3 linked regions of the Macaca mulatta genome follow. The protein of the gene in region 1 purifies or fractionates together with the protein of each later gene. This does not show direct contact. Links are inferred from orthologs where the notes say so. Each region holds a gene or a part of one and is shown on either strand. Other genes may lie near its edges. The genes, in order: PPP1R10, TOX4 and PPP1CB.

Region 1 (8,338 bases):
AAAAAATGATGTCCTCTTCATTTTTCAACTCATGCAGTGCTGTGGCAGTTGGTGCATGTTCAGAAGCCATGCCCTATCTGAGGGTGGTATTGGGTGTCTGGTTCCTTCCCCCAACTTTTTCAAAGCCAAATCTTTATCAGACTCTCCATATAATTTTAATTTTTAAAAGTCCTGCACTGAAGCGTGGAGGTTCTAGGCAGAATTGGAAAGCACAACTGCCCTGTGGTGATGTGGGTGAGACTTAGGGCTAATTTTCTACTGGGTACAGATTCTCAAATTATTACTTAAACTTCTGGATTGGATGGGAGGGACTCTTCCACATGTCTATTGACCACAAGTTTTTTTTGTTTTGTTTTGTTGTTTTTTTTCTTTTAAGCAGTTTGCCATGTGCCTCTGCAGCATATCTTCCTTGGGAGCTGAACATTCTACCCACTGGGGTTCCTGATATCTAGTGAGCCAGGGGATTAATAAAGAAGATCTTCCTTAACATGGGAGATGGGAAGCAAGGTCTACTAGGGGAACCACATCCATTCAGAGAATCTTGGAAAAGCTGATCCTTGTAGTTTGTGGCCAGAGTTCCAGTCTGGGGTCTTTTTCTATGAGTTGGGGTGGTGTATCATTTTGCATCTTTATTGAAAGGCAGATAAGCTTTTGAGGAGCTCATGTATCAGGTTTGCAAAATGACTTTGAGGGGTAGGGGCTTACTACTTGGAAGCAAGCTATGACCTTGTGATGAATCACCTGAGAGACATAATTCAGTCCACTATTGAGTCAAACTAGGAAATGCCTAAAACACTGAAGAAAGGAAGGGGAACATGAGTTAGGTACAAATCATTTTCATTTCCAGAAGTGCCTCTAAATTAAGGTAAATTTGGGAGTTTTTTCTCCTTTTGTTAGAAGACAGTTATTTTTTAAAGAACTCTGACTTGCACAGAATTTTTATCCTGAACCAATTCAGTCCTGTTCATTGGTGATGGATGTGGAATAACTTTAGCTATGCTGGATATTTTTTCACCCTATTTATTTGAATAGCCCTCAAGTAAAATTCATTTTGAAGGCAGGAGTTGGTGTCACAGACGTTTATCTCTGGTAAAAGTGGTAGAAAATTCCCCAGTGCCTTGTGCCAGTAGAGTATGGCTCTGCCTGAAACATCTCCATAAGGAAAGCATAGCTTAGGATGAGGTGGACCTACGTAGGCCAGGGGGTTGCTCCCTCACTCCCCACCTTCTGTATGTTCTGCAGTCAAGGAAATAGCAGCTCACTAAAAAAAGACATAATCATGCCCTGGATTATTCGTGGTTCCAGAAAGCTTTCTCAAGCTTTCATTCTAGACTCCAGATCCTGAGTAGGTAATGTTACAACACTTAGTCACAGCCCCTGCCTTCCTTCATCAACTCAGTTTGCCTTCTCAGCTGTAGCCCTGTGCCCGGAATGTTGGACTTTACATTCCTTCCCACTTCAGTGCCTTGGAGCTTGTTTGGTTTTTTCCCAAAATATACTGACTTCCAAGTAAGGAAACTAGGTTATAAGACACTTAGGGTCCTTAATTTTAAATAAGAATGAATCTGCCTAAAGGAAGGCCATCATGAGAAAACCCACTTATATTTTATCAAGATTGGTGCTAATGAGACAAAATTTCACTTATATTTCCAAAATATAAGTAGTGGAAAATGAATGTTTAACACTAATTTTGCTTTGTCTCTTAGCTTTCCTTTGACTATTAATGTTTTTTATTCTTGTTTATACAAATGGGAATAAAAAAGTCCTTGGATCCCATTCCCAGCAGAGGGCTCTGGACAGAATTTAGCTTTGTACTCATTGGTCCATTTTTCTAAGACTGGCTCTTCTGTCTTGTCTCCCATCCTCTGAAGGAACACTTGAGCTCAGATGACAGTTTATTTAGTGTCTGAAGGAAATAGAGGTAGCTGGTCTATTTATTGGTTTAGCTTGCAGTTGGATATGCCAAAGGGAATTCTCCAGGGTTGTATATATTCAGCCCTGGGTTTGAACCAGTCAAGTCAAGGGGAACTGGTTTGAAATGATGTTTAATTCAAGGCCTTTTGTCAAGTTGCATATATTTTGCTTTGGGAATCTAATGGTAGGTATGTGTGTGTATATATAGAGTTTTAAAAATTTCTTAGTCTCTTGATTGCTTATGTTATTATTGGAACCCATACATTGCTTTTCCAGTCTCCAACAGATGTGATATCTGTTTTATATGTCCCTTTATCATATCTCTTTATAGTTTCTATAGATCACTTTATATTATCTCACTACATGGGAAGAATACCTTTATTTCTGTGTCTGTGTAAGGATCACCATACTTGAGTGGATTTGGCCCACGAACGTCTAATCTTTTCCAGTATTCTCCTTGAATGTTTTTTCTCTGACCTCAGGTTCCACTTGTACTTGTAGAGGTTCCAGGGCAGCAGTGACTTCTCAACATTTCTTGCCTCATCTCTCCCTTTGTTCGGCCCACAGGTTATGACCGCCAGAGCCAAGATTATACTGCTTCCCTTCCTGGCTGCCTCCTCCCTGCTTCTGCTGCTGCTCGCCTAGGTTGTTAGGACCTCCACATTTGGAAATTTATTGACCTTTTTGTTGGGAGGACTAAAAGGCTGAGATTGTTATGCTTATGTTTTTTCTTTTGTTTGAGAACAAATAGAATTAATTTGCATTATCTCACAAGAAACCTATGTTTTTTTCCGGCACAAAAATACTCATCTTTGTAAAATACTGATTTTTCTACCCTTCTGCGGGGATTGTGTCTGTTACCTCTGTGCTAGATGTAGGATGAGGAAGGTTTTGTTCTTGCCTCTTCCTTGCTACCCAGTGTTGGCCTTATTGCCCAAAGGCAGATATTGCTGAAATGGCTTGCTTTTTTGGTGGTTTTTTGTTTGTTTGTTTGTTTTTGAGACAGGGTCTTACTCTGTCGCTCAGGCTGGAGTGCAGTGGCACAATCACAGCTCATTGTAGCCTCAATGTCCCTGGGCTCAAGCGGTCCTCCCATTTTCCCACCTCAGCCTCCTGGGTAGCTGGGACTACAGGTGCACACCATCATACTCAGCTTATGTTTTGTAGAGATGAGGTTTCGCCATGTTGCTGAGGCTGGTTTCAAACTCTTATGCTCAAGGAATCTGCCCACCTTGGCCTCCCAAAGTGCTGGGATTACAGGCGTGAACCACAGCACCTGGCCTCTTTTTTGGTTCTTAGAAGCAAGTATTTAGAGGCAGTGTAGATACAAATCCCAATCAGAACAATATTGATTGTAAATTACCTTTCTGGAACTTCAGTTCTGCCCTGTCCCATAAAAGGAGCTTAGCTTTTAACTAATTCCTTTTCCAACCTGGTCTAAAACAGCTGCTTAAAAGGGAATTTTTCTAGCATTTGACTTTATCTATTCCATTCTTTAGTTTCCATGGTTTTCAGTTTTAGGCTTTCCTAGGGGATCCACAGCGTGATTTTTGAGGAGAGGACCAGATTTACATCTTTGCTTTTGAAAGCACAAACCACTAGCTTCCGTTTAACATGGAGACAGTAAAAACTTGTGCAGTGTTTGGTTAATGAGTGACAGTCTATTCAAGGCCTAGGAGGACCTGCTTGATTTCCTTGCATCCATTTGTCTCAATATCTGGCACCTACCTCCAGATCTCCTTAGGGAAGGATTCTGTTTTCAAGTTTTGTTTTGTTCTCTATCATCTACCACTTCAGCTGATAGATATCTTGCCTTATGTCGTGATTATGACTCTTAATGGGCTAAGATAAAAAGGAATCAACTCTTACAAGACATTTAGCTCAAACACCCAAGATTTGGCCCAATTTCTGTCAAGCTATAGGCTGTTTTTCAAGCCAGATTTTTCAGCAACTAGGGAAGACAGGACTTAACAATAGGTACAAATGCCCTGGAGAGTTGAACATCTTGTTATGAGAACTGAATCTTAGCTCTAGTACGATCTAGTGAAGTTCAGCCATCCTAGGAAGGATGCTACTGGGAGGGAGGGACAGGTGTGCTGCTCTAGTCCTCCAATCGAATTGCTTTCCTGTTCAGTCACATATGCTCCCCATGTTTAACTTGCTAGGGCTATTTTCTCGGTAGTGGCAAGTGGTCTGTGTTGATTTTTCATATCTAAAAAATAGCATAGTTGAATAGTCACTATACTTTGTCAGATGTAGAGATGTGGTTTATTAGAGGGCCTACTCGGGTAGTCCTTGCCACCCATTTATTCTGTGGGTTTGTTTGTTTTGTCCTCTTACCATAGAAACCACCATCATGGGTTCTGGTCCCATAGACCCCAAAGAACTTCTCAAGGGCCTGGACAGCTTCCTTAACCGAGATGGGGAAGTCAAAAGTGTGGATGGGATTTCCAAGATCTTCAGGTGAGTCTTTACCCTTTTTTGGATTCATTGTGAGTAGAGAATATTGTGTGTTAAAATATGGCTGCAGTTGAGGCAGACTGGAATGATCCTGGAAAGGAAAGGGAAAGACAGTCAGTGCAATAGGATTAAAATCTAACAATTTTAGGGTAAGGGATAGGAAAAGATGATCACTTGGTTTCTGACCATAGCGGAAGCTGGAGATTTGGACGTCCACAGTCCCAAGGGAGTCATATGTTGGAATGAGAGCAGGGTAGCCTGGTAACAGAATTCTAGATTGTTTAGGTTCATGTTCCACCTACCTATAATGTTATTTTCTTTCAGGGATTCTCAGGTTCAGGGGAGAGTAAATAAGCCAGTCTTGAACAGATTATTAGGGACAGTTGTTGAGGGCTAGCCGTATCACCTGGGGGCAGAATGACATTCATCCTGTGTGTTAGGGAGGCAGTGATGCTCTCCTCCCCAGGTCAGGGACTTCGGTGTCTCTGTTCTCCCATAAGTTTCCATGTTACACTGGATCCATCCCATCCTCCTAGAGGTATATGTGACTCCCCCTCTCTGGAGCAAAGTCCCAAATCATCAGGAATCTCTAGGCAGTTCACAGATTAGAGAGGCGCTTTTGCTAAGAGAAGAGATACTGGCTGCTTCATTTCTAACCCTCACTCATATCCTGCAGTTTGATGAAGGAAGCACGAAAGATGGTGAGTCGATGCACTTACTTGAACATTCTCCTGCAGACCCGTTCACCAGAAATACTGATCAAGTAAGTGGGGATCTGGATGGTTGGAATGGGAAGATGTAGCTAAAAGATGGGGTGGTGAGGCATGGGGTTCCAGGGGCATTGATGGGAGACTGGGATCGTGGGATGTGGTACTTTCAAAACCTAGAAAGGGCGTTACTGATAGACTCTCCTGCCTGCCTGCAGGTTTATTGACGTTGGTGGCTACAAACTTCTTAACAATTGGCTGACGTATTCAAAGACAACCAACAACATTCCCCTCCTCCAGCAAATACTACTGACCCTGCAGCACCTACCACTCACTGTAGACCATCTCAAGCAGGTACCTTTAGTCTTTAAACCCTGATTCTTCTTTTTTTGGTTTCGTCTAACAGATGAAAACTCACACTGACTGATGTTGGCTGTGATCTTGGGCCTGTGAGATAGAATGGCAGAAAAATAATTTAGAATAAGAAGACTTGGTTTGAATTTATCTCCTTTAATAGGTGTGTGGCGCCTGGGTGCGGTGGCTCACGCCTGTAATCCCAGCACTTTGGGAGGCCGAGGCAGGCAGATCACGAGGTCAGGAGACCGAGACCATCCTGGCTAACACGATGAAACCCCGTCTCCACTAAAAATACAAAAAATTAGCCAGGCATGGTGGCATGCATCTGTAGTCCCAGCTGATCAGGAGGCTGAGGCTGGAGAATCGCTTGAACCCAGGAGGTGGAGGTTGCAGTGAGCCAAGATCACACCACTGCACTCCAGCCTGGGTGACAAAGCGAGACTTATCCCCCACCCCCAAAAAAAAGAATGTGTCAGGCCGGGCGCGGTGGCTCACGCCTGTAATCCCAGCACTTTGGGAGGCCGAGGCGGGCGGATCACAAGGTCAGGAGATCGAGACCACGGTGAAACCCCGTCTCTACTAAAAATACAAAAAACTAGCCGGGCGTGGTGGCGGGCGCCTGTAGTCCCAGCTACTCAGGAGGCTGAGGCAGGAGAATGGCGTAAACCCAGGAGGCGGAGCTTGCAGTGAGCTGAGATCGCGCCATTGCACTCCAGCCTGGGCGACAGAGCGAGACTCCGTCTCAAAAAAAAAAAAAAAAAAAAAAAGAATGTGTCAGCCGGGTGTGGTGGCTCACACCTGTAATCCCAACACTTTGGGATGCTGAGGTGGGTGGATTGCTTGAGCCCAGTAGTTAAAGACCAGCCTGGGCAAAAATGATAAGACCCTGTCTCTACAAAAACTAAAATTTACCCAGATGTGGTGGTGGTGGTGCATGCCTGTAGTCTCAGTTATTTAGGAGACTCAGGTGGGAGAATCATTTGAGTCTGGGAGATTGAGGCTGCAGTGAGCCAAGATTGCTCCACGCACTCTAGCCTGGGCAAGACAGTGAGACTCCGTCTCAAAAAAAAAAAAAAGGTGGGGGGGAGCATTGTAACTTTTGTCATTTTTAGCTCTAAGTGGAATTATTTGCCTCCTGGCATTTACCTTTCTGTTGCTCCCATTTCTCATAGAACAACACAGCTAAACTGGTGAAGCAGCTGAGCAAGTCAAGTGAGGATGAAGGTAGGTGCCGCTCCTGCTCTCTCATGGGCTTTTCTCTATTACTTCCACTTCATTACCTTAATATCTTTTCCCATCCTTGGATTGTCGCTTCACTTTTCTCTTTCTGTGTCACCTTGCTTTTTTTTTCCTTCTTTTAAAGAGAAAGTTCCTCTAACCTGTACCCTGTTTCCTGTTCTCAATTCCAAAGTTGTTCATTTCTCTGTTGCTGAATATAAGGCGCCATACTTTAACTGGAAGCTGATTCCTAAGATTGCTTGTTATAAAACACATACACTTAAAATTCACTGTGGGAAATAGTATCATCCTAGCGTGTCTCATCATCTTTCACTTCTGTTTTTCTAACTATAGCATATTCTGGGAACTTTAATAACTGTTTTCCTAACAGTAGATGTACTAGTTCTACCAATAAACATATTCCTGTAGGACATGGGCAAAATCTTGACTCTTGAAATATATCAAAGCGCCGGGCGCAGTGGCTCACGCCTGTAATCCCAGCACTTTGGGAGGCCGAGGCGGGCAGATCACGAGGTCAGGAGATCGAGACCATCCTGGCTAACAAGGTGAAACCCCGTCTCTACTAAAAATGCAAAAAATTAGCCAGGCGTGGCGGTGGGCGCTTGTAGTCCCAGCTACTTGGGAGGCTGAGGCAGGAGAATGGCGTGAACCCGGAGGCGGATCTTGCAGTGAGCCGAGATTGCGCCACTGCACTCCAGCCTGGGTAACCGAGCGAGACTCCATCTCAAAGAAAAAAAAAGAAATATATCAAAGCTCTGATTCTTTCCTTTTCTAAAAGAGTTGTGGAGCTTCTGGCAAGGACCATATAGTTCTGTCTTGAAGACAAAGCCTGTCTCCTTTAGAAATTTAGAGTTTCCTTTATCTCTACCCGGGCACACAAGATACCAGTTTCCCACCAAGTGAGCAGTGATCTATTTCCAACTGGCTTAATTGTGTTGCTCTCTTTAAATATATATTTAATTACCATCATGCCTTTAGATATTGAAATTTGTATATTCCCTGTCGGTTGTAGTTAAGTCTCACCGGAACCATAGTTATCAGTTACTCCAGAAAGATTTTAGGATATTCCTGCATTGAGGTTCATGTTGGCTTAGGTATAGAAATTGCTAATTGTATGACTGTTTCAAAAAGTTATGTTTTAGTGTTCTGTGAAAATCTTACTGTTAAATGACAAATTATGAAATACGTCTCTAAGTGGAAATGTTGGCCAGAAGAGAGGTGCCATAGATCAGAGATGTTATTTGCCAAGTACAAAAGGAAAGAGTTACAAAAGTATTTTTTCATTTAGAAACAAATTTTATGCTTGTTTTTACATCTATAAAGGAAAATAAAAAGTCTTCAGATTGTTGTAACAATTAGGTGTGTTATACGTAAAGCAACTAATGTAGCTTTTTAAAAAAATGTCAGTAGTTTTTGAGGAACTGGTGGATTTTGGTTACATGTATAAGTTCTTTAATGGTGATTTCTGAGATTTTGGTACACTCATCACCCGAGCAGTGTACATGGCACCCAATGTGTAGTCTTTTACTAATGCAGATTTTAACCACATATTCTGAAATAAATATTAGGTCTTTTTACTCCAGAGTGGTGTGATGACATCAGAGTTGAAAGTTATTTGAGTAGAACACAACTCTTAATTCATTGTTCCATTTTTTAGGAGT
Region 2 (7,541 bases), on another chromosome or scaffold:
TGAGCCACCACTCCCAGTTGAGAACTGCATGTTCTTATGCTCCGCATGCTGCTTATATCTCAGACAAGGACCAAATTTTTTACCATACCAAGTAAAATAGTAAGGAGAAGGAAAATACAGAAATGAAACTATGTATATCTTTTTGTCTTTTAGGAAATTTTTACAAATGTGATTCACAGAGATTGGGCATTTCACAGGCATACTTTTTTCTCCCTAGTTTCTGCTAGCTGGAAATTTTCTTTCTAGCAATGTCTTTTTTTTTGAGACGGAGTCTCCCTCTGTCACCCAGACTGGGGTGCAGTGGCACGATCTCGGCTCACTGCAACCTCTGCCTCCTGGATTCAAGTTATTCTCCTGCCTCAGCCTCCTGAGGTAGCTGGCATTACAGGTACCCGCCACCACGCCAGGCTAATTTTTGTATTTTTAGTAAAGATGGATTTTCACCATGTTGGCCAGGCTGGTCTCGAACTCTTGACCTCAAGTGGTCCACCTGCCTCGGCCTCCCAAAGTGCTGAGATTATAGGCGTGAGCCACCGCACCTAGCCTTTTTTTTTTCTCTTTTTTCTTTCTTCTTTCTTTCTTTTCTTTTTTTTTTTTTTTTTTTTTCCTTTTAGACATGGTCTTGGTCTGTCGCCCGGGCTGGAGTGCAGTGATGCAGTCTTGGCTCACTGCAACCCCCAACTCCTGAGTTCGAGCGATCCTCGTGCCTCAGCCTCTCGAGTACCTGGGATTACAGGTGTGTGCCACCATGCCTGACTAATTTTTGTTCTTTTAGTAGTAGAGATGGGTTTCACTGTGTTGGCCAGGCTGGTCTCGAACTCCTGGCCTCGTGTGATCCACCCACCTGGGCCTCCCAAAGTGCTGGGATTACAGGTGTGAACCACCGCTCCTAGCCTAATGTCTTCATTAAACCAGAATTGGCGGCTGGGCGCTGTGGCTCATGCTTGTAATCCCAACAGTTTGGGACGCCAAGGCAGGGTGATGGCTTGAGTCCAGGAGTTCAAGACCAGTCTGGGCAATATGGCCAGACCCAATCTCTACAAAAAATACAAAAACTAACCTGGCGTCGTGGCCAGGCGGGGTGGCTCATGCCTGTAATCTCAGCACTTTGGGAGGCCGAGGAGGGCGGATCACCTGAGGTCAGGAGTTCAAGACCAGCCTGACCAACATGAAGAAACCCCGTCTCTACTAAAAATACACAATTAGCCAGGCATGGTGACACATGTCTGTAATCCCAGCTACTAGGGAGGCTGAGGCAGGAGAATTGCTTGAACCTGGGAGGCGGAGGTTGTGGTGAGCAGAGTTCATGCCATTGCACTCCAGCCTGGGCAAAAAGAGTGAAACTCTGTCTCAAAAAAAAAAAAAAAAAAAAAAATTAGCCTGGCGTGGTGGTATGCACCTATAGTATCAGTTACTTGGGAGGCTGAGGTGGGAGAATCACTTGAACCCGGGAGGCAGAGATTGAAGTGAGCAAGATTGCACCAGTGCACTTTATCATGGGTGACAAAGGAGACTCTATCTCAAAAAAGAAAAAAAATAAAACTGCCAAGCGCAGTGGCCGGTGCCTGTAATCCCAGCACTTTGGGAGACCGAGGTGGGCGGATCACAAAGTCAAGAGATCAAGACCATCCTGGCCAACATGGTGAAACCCTGTCTCTATTAAAAAATACAGAAATTAGCTGGGCATGGTGGCACACACCTGTAGTAGTCCTAGCTACTTGGGAGGCTGAGGCAGGAGAATTGCTTGAACCCTGGAGGCAGAGGTTGTAGTGAGCCAAGATCACGCCACTGCACTCCAGCCTGGGCTACAGAGCAAGACTCCATCTCAAAAAAAAAAAAAAAAAAAAAACAGAAATGGTCATAATAGAAGAACCTTTCAGGATCTAGAGGAACCTTGAGGTCTGTAAGCCCAACACTTTGGAGACTGAGGCAGTAGGATCAGTTGAGCCCAGGAGTTCGAGACTAGCCTGGGCAACACAGGGAGAGCTTGTCTCTACAAAAAATTTTAAAAATTAGCTGGGTGTGGCAGCACATGCCTGTAGTCCCAACTACTTGGGAGGCTGGGGCTGGAGGCTTGCTTGAGCCCAGGAATTACAGACCAGCTTTGGTGACAGAGCAATACCCCATCTCAAAAAAAAAAAAAAAAAAAAATGAAACCTTTAGGAACTCTTATTTAAAGAATGCATTGTTCAATTACAAAAAAAAAAAAAGTGGGTACCAATTGAATTTGATCTGAATCAGTTTATATTTACTATGCTATGTGTTAGATTGATAGAATTTAAAGTTTCTAAAATTCCAATTATCTGTGATAATTGGTTGGGGTAGGGGGCAAAGGAATCATTATTAGGATATTATTCATAACAATGGTTAATGATGGTTATTAAGCCATTATATGTATCAGGCAATGTGCTAAGCTTTTATGCATGAAATCTCACTTATCCTAATAATAACCATATAAGGGGATTACCATTGTAATTCCCATTTTACAGATGAAGAAAACTTGTTCAAGGTCTTGTACCCAGGTCTCTCTGATAGCAGTCTCTTGCTATTATTTATAATTGTCTATTGTTGCAAATGCCACCATTTAGATTTCAGTGTCAAAACAGAACCATAGCACTTAACATATCTTAGATCATATCTTGGTCTGTTAGCTGCATGAGTGGTGGCCTCATTCAGAAGAGAAAGAATGTATTATTATTGACCTAGTTGGACTCACAGGAAGAGATTGGGTCTTTAGCCAGCTGGAGTAATCCTTTTCCTCTCTTAGAGAGAAGCTTGTTCAGCAAGACTAGCATTTTTGGCATTGTTGAGGTTTTCTGAAAATCGTATACAAATGGGAATCTTGGTCGGGCGCAGTGGCTCACGCCTGTAATCCTAGCACTTTGGGAGGCCAGGGTGGGTGGATCACGAGGTCAGGAGATCGAGACCATCCTGGCTAGCACGGTGAAACTCCGTCTCTACTAAAAATACAAAAAAATTAGCCGGGCGTGGTGGTGGGCGCCTGTAGTCCCAGCTACATTGGAAGCTGAGGCTGGAGAATGGCCTGAACCCGGGAGGCGGAGCTTTCAGTGAGTGGAGATCGAGCCACTGCATTCCAGCGTGGGCGACAGAGCGAGACTCTGTCTCAAAAAAAAACAAAAAAAACAAATGGGAATTTTTAGTTGTTAACATTATAATTTCTAAAGTGGAGAAGAAGTAGGAAACTCTAAGTGCAAATATTTTAGAGGGGGATAAAGTTTCCATGACAGTACATTTTAGCATCTGTTTGAAAGGAACCTAAAACAACAAAGTACAATTGGCTGGCTGACAGCAAATTTCTGTGGCCTAACAGTTTAGTTGTAATAATTGTGAAATAACTGCTCTATTAGAATCTTTAGAGAGATTTCAAGGATCATAGTAAGCAGGTTATAAAGGCTGTATTCTAAGTAATGGTACTGGAAGAATTTTTCATTAGAACAATAGGCATAATTTAGGACAAAAGAGTGGTAATGGTAGAAAAGAGATAAAAGAATTGAAAATTGTGACTGATGTTAGCAGCCTTGAATGCACCAAGTGACCAAGGGTATCAGAAGAGAGATTGGTAAAAATAATAGGTTCTAAGAAATTGATTATAAAATAGGATCCTAAGCAGAAAAAATGTACCCTGAGAATCTCTAGTACCCCATTATGTTCTTCACTTAGTAGTATGCCATTTCTCCTCTTTTCGCTAATTCTTTTCCCCCTTTTTTCCCTACAGACATTCCATACACCAAGCTTGGGAGATGAGGAATTTGAAATCCCACCTATCTCCTTGGATTCTGATCCCTCATTGGCTGTCTCAGATGTGGTTGGCCACTTTGATGACCTGGCAGACCCTTCCTCTTCACAGGATGGCAGTTTTTCAGCCCAGTATGGGGTCCAGACATTGGACATGCCTGTGGGCATGACCCATGGCTTGATGGAGCAGGGCGGGGGGCTCCTGAGTGGGGGCTTGACCATGGTAAGGGGCAAGAGATTGTCAGGCTTACCCCAGCTAACAGGCATGGCATTAGGGGAGACAAAAGTTACTGTATTCCCTACTACACTTGGGTATTACTTGTGTGTCTTCTTGTGGCTAAAGGCTCACCAACAAAGACTTAGTTTCACCTGAATAAATGAAATTTACCATGTAGGTAGATTTTACTTGAAAAATAATTTAAAATTGTACAATGTCTGGTTAGAAAATTATTGTGGTTTTTGGGAAAGTGTTTTCTGCTTTTATTATGACCTTCACATCCTAGGATTCAAATTTGAATGTGATAGCTGGCACGTGGAGGGATTTATTAAAAAATGGTCTGAATCATGTTGAGAAGCCAGCAGATCAGAGCTTTTTTTTAAAAAAAAGGTCTGAGTCAAATATAGTATTGTAGATTACTATGTAATATAAATCAGTATGTTGGGCTTCTGGCACATGAAACCAGTAGCACATCTTCACACTCTATATTTGATGCCAAACTTCTGTAATATTGGCCTATTTATGCTGACTGCCTGTGTATTATTTTAAAAGCTATTATTTTGGGAGGGTACAGACAGGAAGTTTTTCTTTACTCAATGTGTTGTCCCTACTTATAGATTACTGAGTAAGTTGATAGCTCTTTAACTTCTCCAACAGTATGACTTCTCTGATTATTTTTAGTTCTTCTTTAGAGTGCAAAGAAGTAAATTCATTAATTTCTGTACTTTTTAAAAAAGCTTATGTTTTTATTTTCAGTTTTGAAGACTATTTTATGTTTTGTATTTTAAATGATACAATCTGGGTAGGCAGGGAATTTATAAGCTATCTTAAATTTAGGGGGGAAAGTGGTGTTTTTTTATATTTACTGTTTAATTAGTCCTTCTGCTTCTCTCAGGACTTGGACCACTCTATAGGAACTCAGTATAGTGCCAACCCACCTGTTACAATTGATGTACCAATGACAGACATGACATCTGGCTTGATGGGGCATAGCCAGTTGACCACCATTGATCAGTCAGAACTGAGTTCCCAACTGGGTTTGAGCTTAGGGGGTGGCACCATCCTACCACCTGCCCAGTCACCTGAAGATCGTCTTTCAACCACGCCTTCACCTACTAGTTCACTTCATGAGGATGGTGTTGAGGATTTCCGGAGGGTGAGGCATTCCCTGCCAAAATCAATTCTGCTGTGATATTCTAGGATAAAATTCTTGGGATACAGAGCTTAATCAGTATTCTTTAGCCTTACCATGCCATCTCCTCTGCTCTTTTCTGGGTATGGGGTTCCACCTACCAATTTCCAGTTTATAATTCTCTCAATCCCTATTCTTATTGGTTCTCCATACTTGACCAGTGTCTTTTAACGCTATTTCCATGATTTTTAGCATTTCTGAAAATTCCATACATGTGGCTAGTTTCCAGACATAATACTTGTCATCATCCATTGTGTAATTCTTTTTCTCTCTTAACAGCAACTTCCCAGCCAGAAGACAGTGGTGGTGGAAGCAGGGAAAAAGCAGAAGGCCCCAAAGAAGAGAAAAAAGAAAGATCCTAATGAACCTCAGAAACCAGTTTCGGCATATGCTTTATTCTTTCGTGATACACAGGCTGCCATCAAGGGACAGAATCCTAATGCCACTTTTGGTGAGGTTTCAAAAATTGTGGCCTCCATGTGGGATAGTCTTGGAGAGGAGCAAAAACAGGTGAGCAAATGTTAAGGAACTAGTAGTGAATGTTCCAAAAGTTTTTAAAGAGATAAAAATAGAGGTTTTCGGCTGGGCGCGGTGGCTCAAGCCTGTAATCCCAGCACTTTGGGAGGCCGAGACGGGCGGATCATGAGGTCAGGAGATCGAGACCATCCTGGCTAACACGGTGAAACCCCGTCTCTACTAAAATATACAAAAAAAACTAGCTGGGCAAGGTGGCAGGCGCCTGTGGTCCCAGCTACTTGGGAGGCTGAGGCAGGAGAATGGCGTAAACCCGGGAGGCGGAGCTTGCAGTGAGCTGAGATCTGGCCACTGCACTCCAGCCTGGGAGAGAGAGCGAGACTCTCCTCCTGGGTTCACGCCGCTCTTCTGCCTAAGCCTCCCAAGTAGCTGGGACTACAAGTGCCCACCACCACACCGGGCTAATTTTGTTTTTGTATTTTTAGCAGAGATGGGGTTTCACCGTGTTAGCCAGGGTGGTCTCGATCTCGTGACCTCATGATCCGCCCGTCTCAGCCTCCCAAAGTGCTGGGATTACAGGCTTGAGCCACCGCGCCCAGCCCCAAAAATACCTAAATAATGTGTGGAAGAAGCTCTGGTAGGGCCAAGCCCTTTCATCTTAAATTACACACTTCTGCTTAGTGACAGTGAAGGGCTAAGGGCTAATCACAAGGATAGATGAGTGAAACCCTCTAGTTTGTTCTTGGCTTTTGTTGTGCTGTTTGTGGTGGTAGTATTTAGCTTTACCTCCTAAACCCACACAGTAATAATTTTACTATAAGAATTTAAGAATAAGCCCTGGCACGGTGGCTCACGCCTGTAATCCCAGCACTTTGGGAGACCGAGGCAGGCGGATCACTTGAGGTAAGGAGTTCGAGACCAGCCTGGCCAACATGGTAAAACCCCATCTCTACTAAAAATACCAAATTAGCCAGGCATGCTGGTGGCTGCCTGTAGTCCCAGTTACTCAGGAGTCTGAGGTAGAACTGCTTGAACCCGGGAGGTGTAGGTTACAGTGAGCCGAGATTGGGCCACCTAGGAGACAAGAGAGAGGATGAAACTCCATCTCAAAAAAAAAATTTTTTTTTTAATGTGAGAAGAGGGCCAGGCCCAGTGGCTCACACCTGTAATCCCAGCCCTTTGGGAGGCCGAGGAGGGCAGATCACTTGAGGTCAGGAGTTCAAGACCAACCTGGCCATCATGGTGAAACCTTGTCTCTACTAAAAATCCAAAACAAGCCAGGCATGGTGGTGCACACCTGTAATCCCAGCTACTTGGGAGGCTAAGACAGGAGAATCGCTTGAACCCAGGAGTCTAAATCCAAAAAAGAAAAAGAAATTCAAAAAAAGGCCAGGTGCGGTGGCCTGGGAGGCAGAGCTTGCAGCAAGCCAAGAACGTGCCACTGCACTCCAGCCTGGGCAACAGAGCAAGACTCTGGCTCAGAAAAAATAAAATAAATAGTAGCTATTCTTGCCAGACTCCTGTTGATTGGTTGTCTTTCAGAGATATGCTCAGTGGAGTGAGTCTGCCATAGAGGTTGTCTTGACTGTTAGCTTTCAGAATTGTATTCACTGATAGGGGTTGTCAGTGATTAGACTAAGATGAATTGTCATTCATTGATAAATAATACAGAACTATCAGTCTTCCCTAGGAGTATGGGGAGTCTTTTTTTTTTTTAAAGTCTCTTTTTTGCAGGTATATAAGAGGAAAACTGAGGCTGCCAAGAAGGAGTATCTGAAGGCACTGGCTGCTTACAAAGACAACCAGGAGTGTCAGGTAAGAGGGATAGGGTAGATGGATATTTAAACCAGTAAGAAGTTTTTTGGAAGTATTTGTTAGCAGTTTTAAGAAGTAAATACAACC
Region 3 (7,541 bases), on another chromosome or scaffold:
AGCACTTTGGGTGGCCGAGGCAGGCGGATCATGAGGTCAAGAGATCGAGACCAGCCTGGCCAACATGGTGAAACCCCGTCTTTACTAAAAATACAAAAAATTAGCTGGGTGTGGTGGCGTGCGCCTATAGTCCCAGCTACTTGGGAGGCTGAGGCAGGAGAATCGCTTGAACCCAGAAGGTGTAGGTTGCAGTGAGCTGAGATCACGCTACTGCACTCTAGCCTGGGTGATGGAGTAAGACTCTGTCCCCAACAAAAAAGACATTAAATGGGACACTTTTCAGTATCTTTGATTTCACATGGTGAATCTATTTTGATTGTATGCTTTTTATTCAGTGACTACTAAAATATTGAAATTTTTAGCTATCAGTACTATGTCTCATCTTTTTATTTTTAGGATTGTCACCAGACCTGCAATCTATGGAGCAGATTCGGAGAATTATGAGACCTACTGATGTCCCTGATACAGGTAAGTATAGCTCTCTATAGTTTAATTATTTCGTGTAAAGTGTTGTCATATTTGAACCTGATTACATTTAGCGGAAGTAGGATTGGTTTATGTAATAAATAAAAGAGTTTTTTTTATAGTCAGTAAGCCAGCTGCAGATTACTTTATTTGCAGTAATACAAAATTTTTCACTTTGCACTGATCCTCAAAATGTGGAACCTTTTTATTTATAGTCATAATATGGTTCTGTCACCCTTATTTGATCACAAAAAAATATTTTGCTATTGAGTCCTCATCTATTTTTCTAAATTCCCTCGTTCATCCTGGCATTGGTTGTTTTTCAAAAACTTGTTAAATTAGCCAAAAGTTTTTTAACTAAAATAATCTGTTCTTTGCTTCTTAGGCAAGGATACAACTACCTTCTTTTGAATTGTCTAGTAGTTTTTTGTTATTTTCTGCATCCTCTATTTCAAATTTTTAGAGCTTTTTTTCAAGGGGATGTGGGAGGGATTTCTTTTTGTTGCCCAGGCTGGACTCGAATTCCTAGGCTCAAGCAATCCTCCTGCCTCAGCTTCTGAGTAGCTAGGACTCCAGGCATGGGCTGTACCTGGCTTAAATTTTTAGAGCTCTTAAGGCTCTAGAGACCTGTGGTCAGTTTTGTGAAAATTACATTGGAAATCTGTGGGAAGACTGGGAGCAGTGGCGCTCACGCCTGTAATCCCAGCACTTTGGAAGGCTGAGGTGGTCAGGATCACTTGAGGTCAGGAGTTTAACACCAGCCTGACCAGACAAGACGAAACCCCATATCTACTAAAAATAACAAAAATTAGCTGGGCATGGCGGTGCGTACCTGTAATCCTAGCTATTCAAGAGGCTGAGGCACGAGAATCACTTGAACCCGGGAGACAAGAGGTTGCAGTGAGCCGAGATCACACCACTACACTCCAGCCTGGGTGACAGAGTGAAACTATCTCAAAAAAAAAAAAAAAAAAAAGAAACAACCACCACAAAAAATGCTACTCAGCACTACACATCAACCATTATAAATGGTATAGATCCTCTGATGTCAGTAGCCATGTAATACACTGTATGTTGTAATAAATTGTGTTATAAGCTTTTTTTTTTTTTTTTGAGACAGAGTCTTTCTGTGTCACCAGGCTGGGGAGCAATGGCGCAATCTCAGCTCACTGCAAGCTTTGCCTCCTGGATTCAAGTGATTCTTATGTCTCAGCCTCCTGAGTAGCTGGGACTATAGGCACCCACCACTGCGCCCGGCTAATTTTTTGTATTTTTAGTAGAGACGAGGTTTCACCATGTTGGCCAGAATAGTCTTGATCTCTCGACCTCGTGATCCATCCGCCTTGGCCTCCCAAAGTGCTGGGATTACAGGCGTGAGCCACTGCTCTGGCCTGCGTTGAGCTTTTTTACATAACACGACTTGTGTTGATTATTTTTAAAAGTATGCATTTTATCACAGTTTTTTATTGTCATTATAGAATACATTTGACTTGATATAATAGAAACTAGTATTTAAATAGTATTTTATTTAAAATGCTGTTTTTAGGCCTTGTGCACTAGTTCGTGCTTGTAATTCCAGCACTTTGGGAGGCCAAGGCAGGAAGATCACTTGAGGCCAGGAGTCGAGACCAACCTGGGCAACATAACACCCACCTCTACAGAGAGAGAGAAAAAAAAAATTTAATTAGCCACCTGTGGTGGTGCCCCAGCTACTCAGGAGGCTGAGGCAGGAGGATCACTTGAGCCCAGGAAGTTGAGGCTGCAGTGACCTGTGATTGTGCTCCTGCACTCTAGCCTGGGTGACAGAGTGAGACCCTGTCTTTCAAAAAACACCCAAAGTGCTTTTTTTAAAATAAGGTATAATATAAATATGTATTAGTCATTCTTCAGAATTTGTTTATAGTTCAGATGTAAATTTCAAGTGTGATATGCTAGGCTTCTATTTTTAGCATATTTTATTTTAGCATATTTTAATGAGAAGTTTTTGAGATGCTGAAAACGATTATTTTAATCTCTGATAGCGTCTGCAACATTCAGAAATTTAATTTATAAATTAATACATTATTTGAAACAGTCTAGTTGATTGCGATGCTAGCTCATTAAACAATGAACCTTGACTGAAAACCTTTTTTTTTTTTTTTTTTTTTTTTGAGACGGAATTTCACTCTTGTTGCCCAGACTGGAGTGCAGTGGCGCGATCTTAGCTCACTGCAACCTCCGCCTCCCAGTTTCAAGCAGTTCTCTTGCCTCAGCCTCCCGAGTAGCTGGAATAACAGGCACCTGCCACTGCCCAGCTAATTTTTGTATTTTTAATAGAGATGGGGTTTCACCATGTTGGCCAGGCTGCTCTGGAACTCCTGACCTCAGGTGATCCGCCCACCTTGGCCTCCCAAAGTGCTAGGATTACAGGCATTAGCTACCGTACCCGGCCTGAAATTCTTATCTTGACCCTGTTAAGGTTAAAGAATTCCAGATTGTTGTTGCTACCATTATTTGATTTTTTTAATGCATCCACACTGTCATATTTCCTAAACCTTAAACTGTATTCTAATTTTATACAGTTATTGTCACACTGAAATTATAGATTCTTAATACCTTAGCTTTCTACTGGAAACAGGCTGGAAAGTATGAGAGCTTTATTAAGCACTGGGTGTGTGTATATTTTCAAAGAGTCAGCTTCAACCAGAAAGGGCTTACGATTTGAGACTGACTGTTCCAGTGGATTTTGTGTGCTAGTGAATTTCTTAAAACATCATACAGGAAGCTTGGGATATATCAACGATAGAAACTGAGTACATTGCCACTAATTCTACAGATGGTTTTATAATGCCTCTGTCAAGATACGATGTACTGTAACTGAAAATGAAGATGTCCTTCCCTCCTAAACCATACTGTGATGTTTATGGATTCTTTAAAATTCTTAAAACTGACTTACTTTTTAAAAAATATATTCTCGGCCGCGCGCGGTGGCTCACATCTGTAATCCCAGCACTTTGGGAGACTGAGGCAGGCGGATCATGAGGTTAGGAGATTGAGACCATCCTGGCTAACACAGTGAAACCCTGTCTGTACTAAAAATACAAAAAATTAGCTGGGTGTGGGGTGTGCGCCTGTAGTCCCAGCTACTCAAGAGGCTGAGGCAGGAGAATGGGATGAACCCGGGGGTGGAGTTTGCAGTGAGCCGAGATTGCGCCACTGCACTCCAGCCTGAGACTCCGTCTCAAATAAATATATATACACACACACACACACACACATATATATATATATCTTAGCCACTATAATTCTTAGAAAATCACTATCATCTCAACATCCACCCTTCTTTTAATATCACTACAGTTGGACTTTTACCCACTCTGTTACCCTCAATCACCAAGAAACTTGCATTAAGTTCTGATGATTTAATTGTAAGTGGCACATTTTTGGTCTTTGTCCTACTGCCCTTGTTCATGGCACATGTCCTACTTTAGGACAGTTGTTTCCCCTTTCAGGATACCTTTACTAAGCCTTTTGTCTTGATCATTCCTTCTCAATACTTATGCTCATTCTCCCTCACCTGCCTGCCTGTTAAATGTTTGGAGTCCTCAGAATTCATTTACTGGTCTTCTCACTTTGTATTCCCAAGGTGGTCTGAGTGCCTCTTAAGATTTCCATTACCATTAATATGATAACAATACTCAGGTAAATATTTTTAACCGTGACCTCTTTTCCAAGGCTCCAGACATTACCAAAGTGAAGGATCTGATCTGATTTTGTTCTTCCACATTTAAAAAAAAATCCTCAGGCCCTCAGTAGAAAATGGTTTTTTTTCCCCCTCAAGTGATCTATAGATCAAATACAATTCCAATGAAATCACAATTGAGTTTTTTATGGAATTAGGCAAATTGTTTTTAATGTTTATGTGGAAGAACAAAAGATCAAAAAGTAACTGAGACAATCTTGAGAGAAAAAAAAATGGAGGATACTAGCCCTGCCGAATATAAAGACTTGTTTAAAAGCTCTAGTCTGTTACTGGCTCAGGGATGAATCAAATAGACTAACGGAATAGACTGGTGCTCAGAAACAGTGGAACTGTAAGGAAAGGATGAACTATTGAGGAAATGCTGCTGGGTTCTTTGGTTATTCATATGGAGAAACTACACAAAAGATGAACAGTGTTTTCCATATATTATTGTGCTATAAGTGCCATACACATATTTCCTATATGTGGAAAGGGTTGGAAAGCACTACCTTAAGAGGCCCTGGAAGATTATATTTGTATGGTTGCTTTAACAAAAATATGAGTTACATAGGCTGGGCAAGTGATTGTCATTGTTTAGTTAAAAGTAAGAGGGTCAGAGAGGAACTGAAATTTGATGTAGATGTGCTATAAATCTGTAAATTTTGTTCTTAATTGCTGTATTTCTGTCCTTTAAAGGTTTGCTCTGTGATCTGCTATGGTCTGATCCAGATAAGGATGTGCAAGGCTGGGGAGAAAATGATCGTGGTGTTTCCTTTACTTTTGGAGCTGATGTAGTCAGTAAATTTCTGAATCGTCATGATTTAGATTTGATTTGTCGAGCTCATCAGGTATGAAAGATAAGACTCTTAAGTGTTTTCTTTTTTCTTTCTTTTTTTGGGGGCAGACGGGGAGGGCAGACAGCATCTTGTTCTGTCACCCAGACTGGAGTGCAATGGCGCAATCTCTGCTCACTGCAACCTGTGCCTCCTGGGTTCAAGCAATTCTCGTGCCTCAGCCTCACAAGTAGCTGGGACTATAGGTGTGTGCCACCACACCTGGACTCTTAAACGTTTATTATTTGTTAACTTCACATAAGTCCTCTCATTTTGTTTTGAGGAAACATATCCAAGAAACCTAAATGAGTTGTACAAGGAAAGCAGTAGGAGAGGCGGCAGAGCCAGTTCCTGCATCTCACACTTAACGATCTAATGATTTGTTAACCTTTTATCACCCTAAAAGAGGAAATGTTTAGAAATATTTGGGGACTGGGCGTGGTGGCTCACATCTATAATCCCAGCACTTTGGCAAGCTGAGGTAGATGGATTGCTTAAGCACAGGAGTTTGAGACCAGCCTGGGCAACAAAATGAGATCCCATCTCTACAAAAAAATAAAAAATTTAGTTGGGTGTGGTGGTGCATACCTGTGGTCTCAGCTACATGGGAGGCTGAGGTGGGAGGATCGCTTGAGCCTAGGAGATCAAGGCTGCAGTGAGCCATGTTTATGCCACTGCTCTCCAGCCCTTGTGAAAGAGCCAGACCCAGTCTCAAAAAAAAAAAAAATGTGTTTTTGTAGTATACAGCAAATCTAACAAAATTTTCAGTGAGGCTTTGAAGCTTTGTAGACATGATTTAGATTTTTTTTTCTTTTTTTTTTTTTTTTTTTTTGAGATAGAGTCTCAGTCTGTTGCCCAGGCTGGAGTGCACTGGCACGATCTCTGCTCACTGTAACCTCCACCTCCCAGGCTCAATCCTGCCTCAGCCTCCGGAACAGCTGGGATTACAGGCGCACACCACCACGCCTGGCTCATTTTTGTATTTTTAGTAGAAACACGGTTTCACTATGTTGGCCAGGCTGGCCTTGAACTCCTGAGCTCAAGTGATCTGCCCGTCTCGGCCTCCCAAAGTGCTGAGATTACAGGCCTGAGCACACTGTGCCCAGCCTCATTTTTGTATGGTCTTTGTGCATAATGGCGATTTTGATAAGAACAAACCACACTTTAAAAAAGCATTTTTTAGACCATTGAAGAATTTGATTGTGGCTGGGTGCAGTGGCTCATGCCTGTAATTCCAGCACTTTGGGAGGCTGAGGTGGGTGGATCCTTTGAGCCCCAGGAGTTGGAGACCAGTCTGAGCAACGTGACAAAACCCCGTCTCTACAGAAGATACAAAACTTAGCCAGGTGTGGTGGTGTGCACCTGTAGTCCCAGCTTACTTGGGAGGCTGTGGCAGGAGAATCGCTTGAGCTCGGGAGGCGGAGGTTGCAGTGAGTGTAGATTGCACCATTTCACTCCAGCTCGTGCAATGGGTGTGAAACCCAGTCTCAAAAAAGAAAATTTGATTGTAGACTCGGTAATAGGTATCAATTATTTAATCTTTTAATTGTTTATTTTTGTTTGAGGCCGAGTCTCAGTCTGTCACCCAGGCTGAAGTGCAGTGGCGCGATCTCTGCTCACTGCAACTTCTGCCTCCCGGGTTGAAGTGATTCTCCTGCCTCAGCCTCCCAACTAGCTAAGACTACAGGTGCCTGCCACCACACCCAGCTAATTTTTGTATTTTTAGTACAGACAGGGTTTCACTATGCTGGCCAGGTTGGTGTCAAACTCCTGACCTCAGGTTATCTGCCCACCTCAGCCTCCCAAAGTGCTGGGATTATGGGTGTGAGCCACTGCTCCTGGCCGGTATCAATTATTTTAGCTGTGTCATAATCATTAATTGTTATGTAAGAAGAATGTCTGTGTTTTTCCAGGAATGCATACTCAAATGTGTAGAGGTAAAATGACATGCCTGAGATTTGCTTTAAAATAATATCAGCAGAGAGAAAGGGGGAGGGGGAAGATAAATGAAACAAATGTTGCAAAATCATGAAAGGTATTGAATTAGGCTGATGAGTTAATGGGAGTTAATTCAAGTCTTCTTGATCTACTTTTGTGTATATTTGAAATTTTTCATTATAAAAACATTTATACAGTTTAGGGTTTTTGGTTATCTTTTATGTCCTCCACCACTAGGTTGCATACTCTCTAAGGAAGGGATTACGACTTGTTTTTGAATCTCTGTTGATTTGTACAGTTGCTGACATTGTAGCATATTGTATCATGCACACATAGTGTTGAATAAATTAACTAATAAAAGCATATTTAATTAAGTATATGCTGTCCCACAGTACTTCCCTTTTTTTCTGGAGCTTTACTCCCCGTGACACACACTGCTGCTGCCTCTTTCTTTGATCCTAAGTGATACAAGTGCCTGGCTTTTCATTCTTTGCATATTGTATATTACATGCCACTTTTATTTAGCAGGATTTTTTTGTGGTTCCGTTGAAATGAGGTCATGTTCCCACATCCTTTGCTTTTGA

Evidence for each region.
Region 2: the proteins of PPP1R10 (region 1) and TOX4 purify together in Homo sapiens (affinity purification with mass spectrometry; 3 studies listed by BioGRID and IntAct, counting the BioPlex papers as one, with this or other methods). This does not show direct contact. The link is inferred for Macaca mulatta from reciprocal best matches to the Homo sapiens genes PPP1R10 and TOX4.
Region 3: the proteins of PPP1R10 (region 1) and PPP1CB purify together in Homo sapiens (affinity purification with mass spectrometry; 5 studies listed by BioGRID and IntAct, with this or other methods). This does not show direct contact. The link is inferred for Macaca mulatta from reciprocal best matches to the Homo sapiens genes PPP1R10 and PPP1CB.

What each region holds. Positions count from the first base shown.
Region 1 is NC_133409.1:152,435,819-152,444,156, forward strand, and holds the start of PPP1R10 (serine/threonine-protein phosphatase 1 regulatory subunit 10), read left to right. Parts: upstream 1-4,270; coding exon 4,271-4,377; intron 4,378-5,050; coding exon 5,051-5,137; intron 5,138-5,299; coding exon 5,300-5,435; intron 5,436-6,610; coding exon 6,611-6,662; intron 6,663-8,338.
Region 2 is NC_133412.1:94,346,967-94,354,507, forward strand, and holds part of TOX4 (TOX high mobility group box family member 4), read left to right. Parts: intron 1-3,736; coding exon 3,737-3,979; intron 3,980-4,868; coding exon 4,869-5,129; intron 5,130-5,444; coding exon 5,445-5,675; intron 5,676-7,373; coding exon 7,374-7,454; intron 7,455-7,541. UniProt on the Homo sapiens protein: Transcription factor that modulates cell fate reprogramming from the somatic state to the pluripotent and neuronal fate. In liver, controls the expression of hormone-regulated gluconeogenic genes such as G6PC1 and PCK1.
Region 3 is NC_133418.1:96,185,586-96,193,126, reverse strand, and holds part of PPP1CB (serine/threonine-protein phosphatase PP1-beta catalytic subunit), read left to right. Parts: intron 1-396; coding exon 397-468; intron 469-4,882; coding exon 4,883-5,034; intron 5,035-7,541. UniProt on the Homo sapiens protein: Protein phosphatase that associates with over 200 regulatory proteins to form highly specific holoenzymes which dephosphorylate hundreds of biological targets.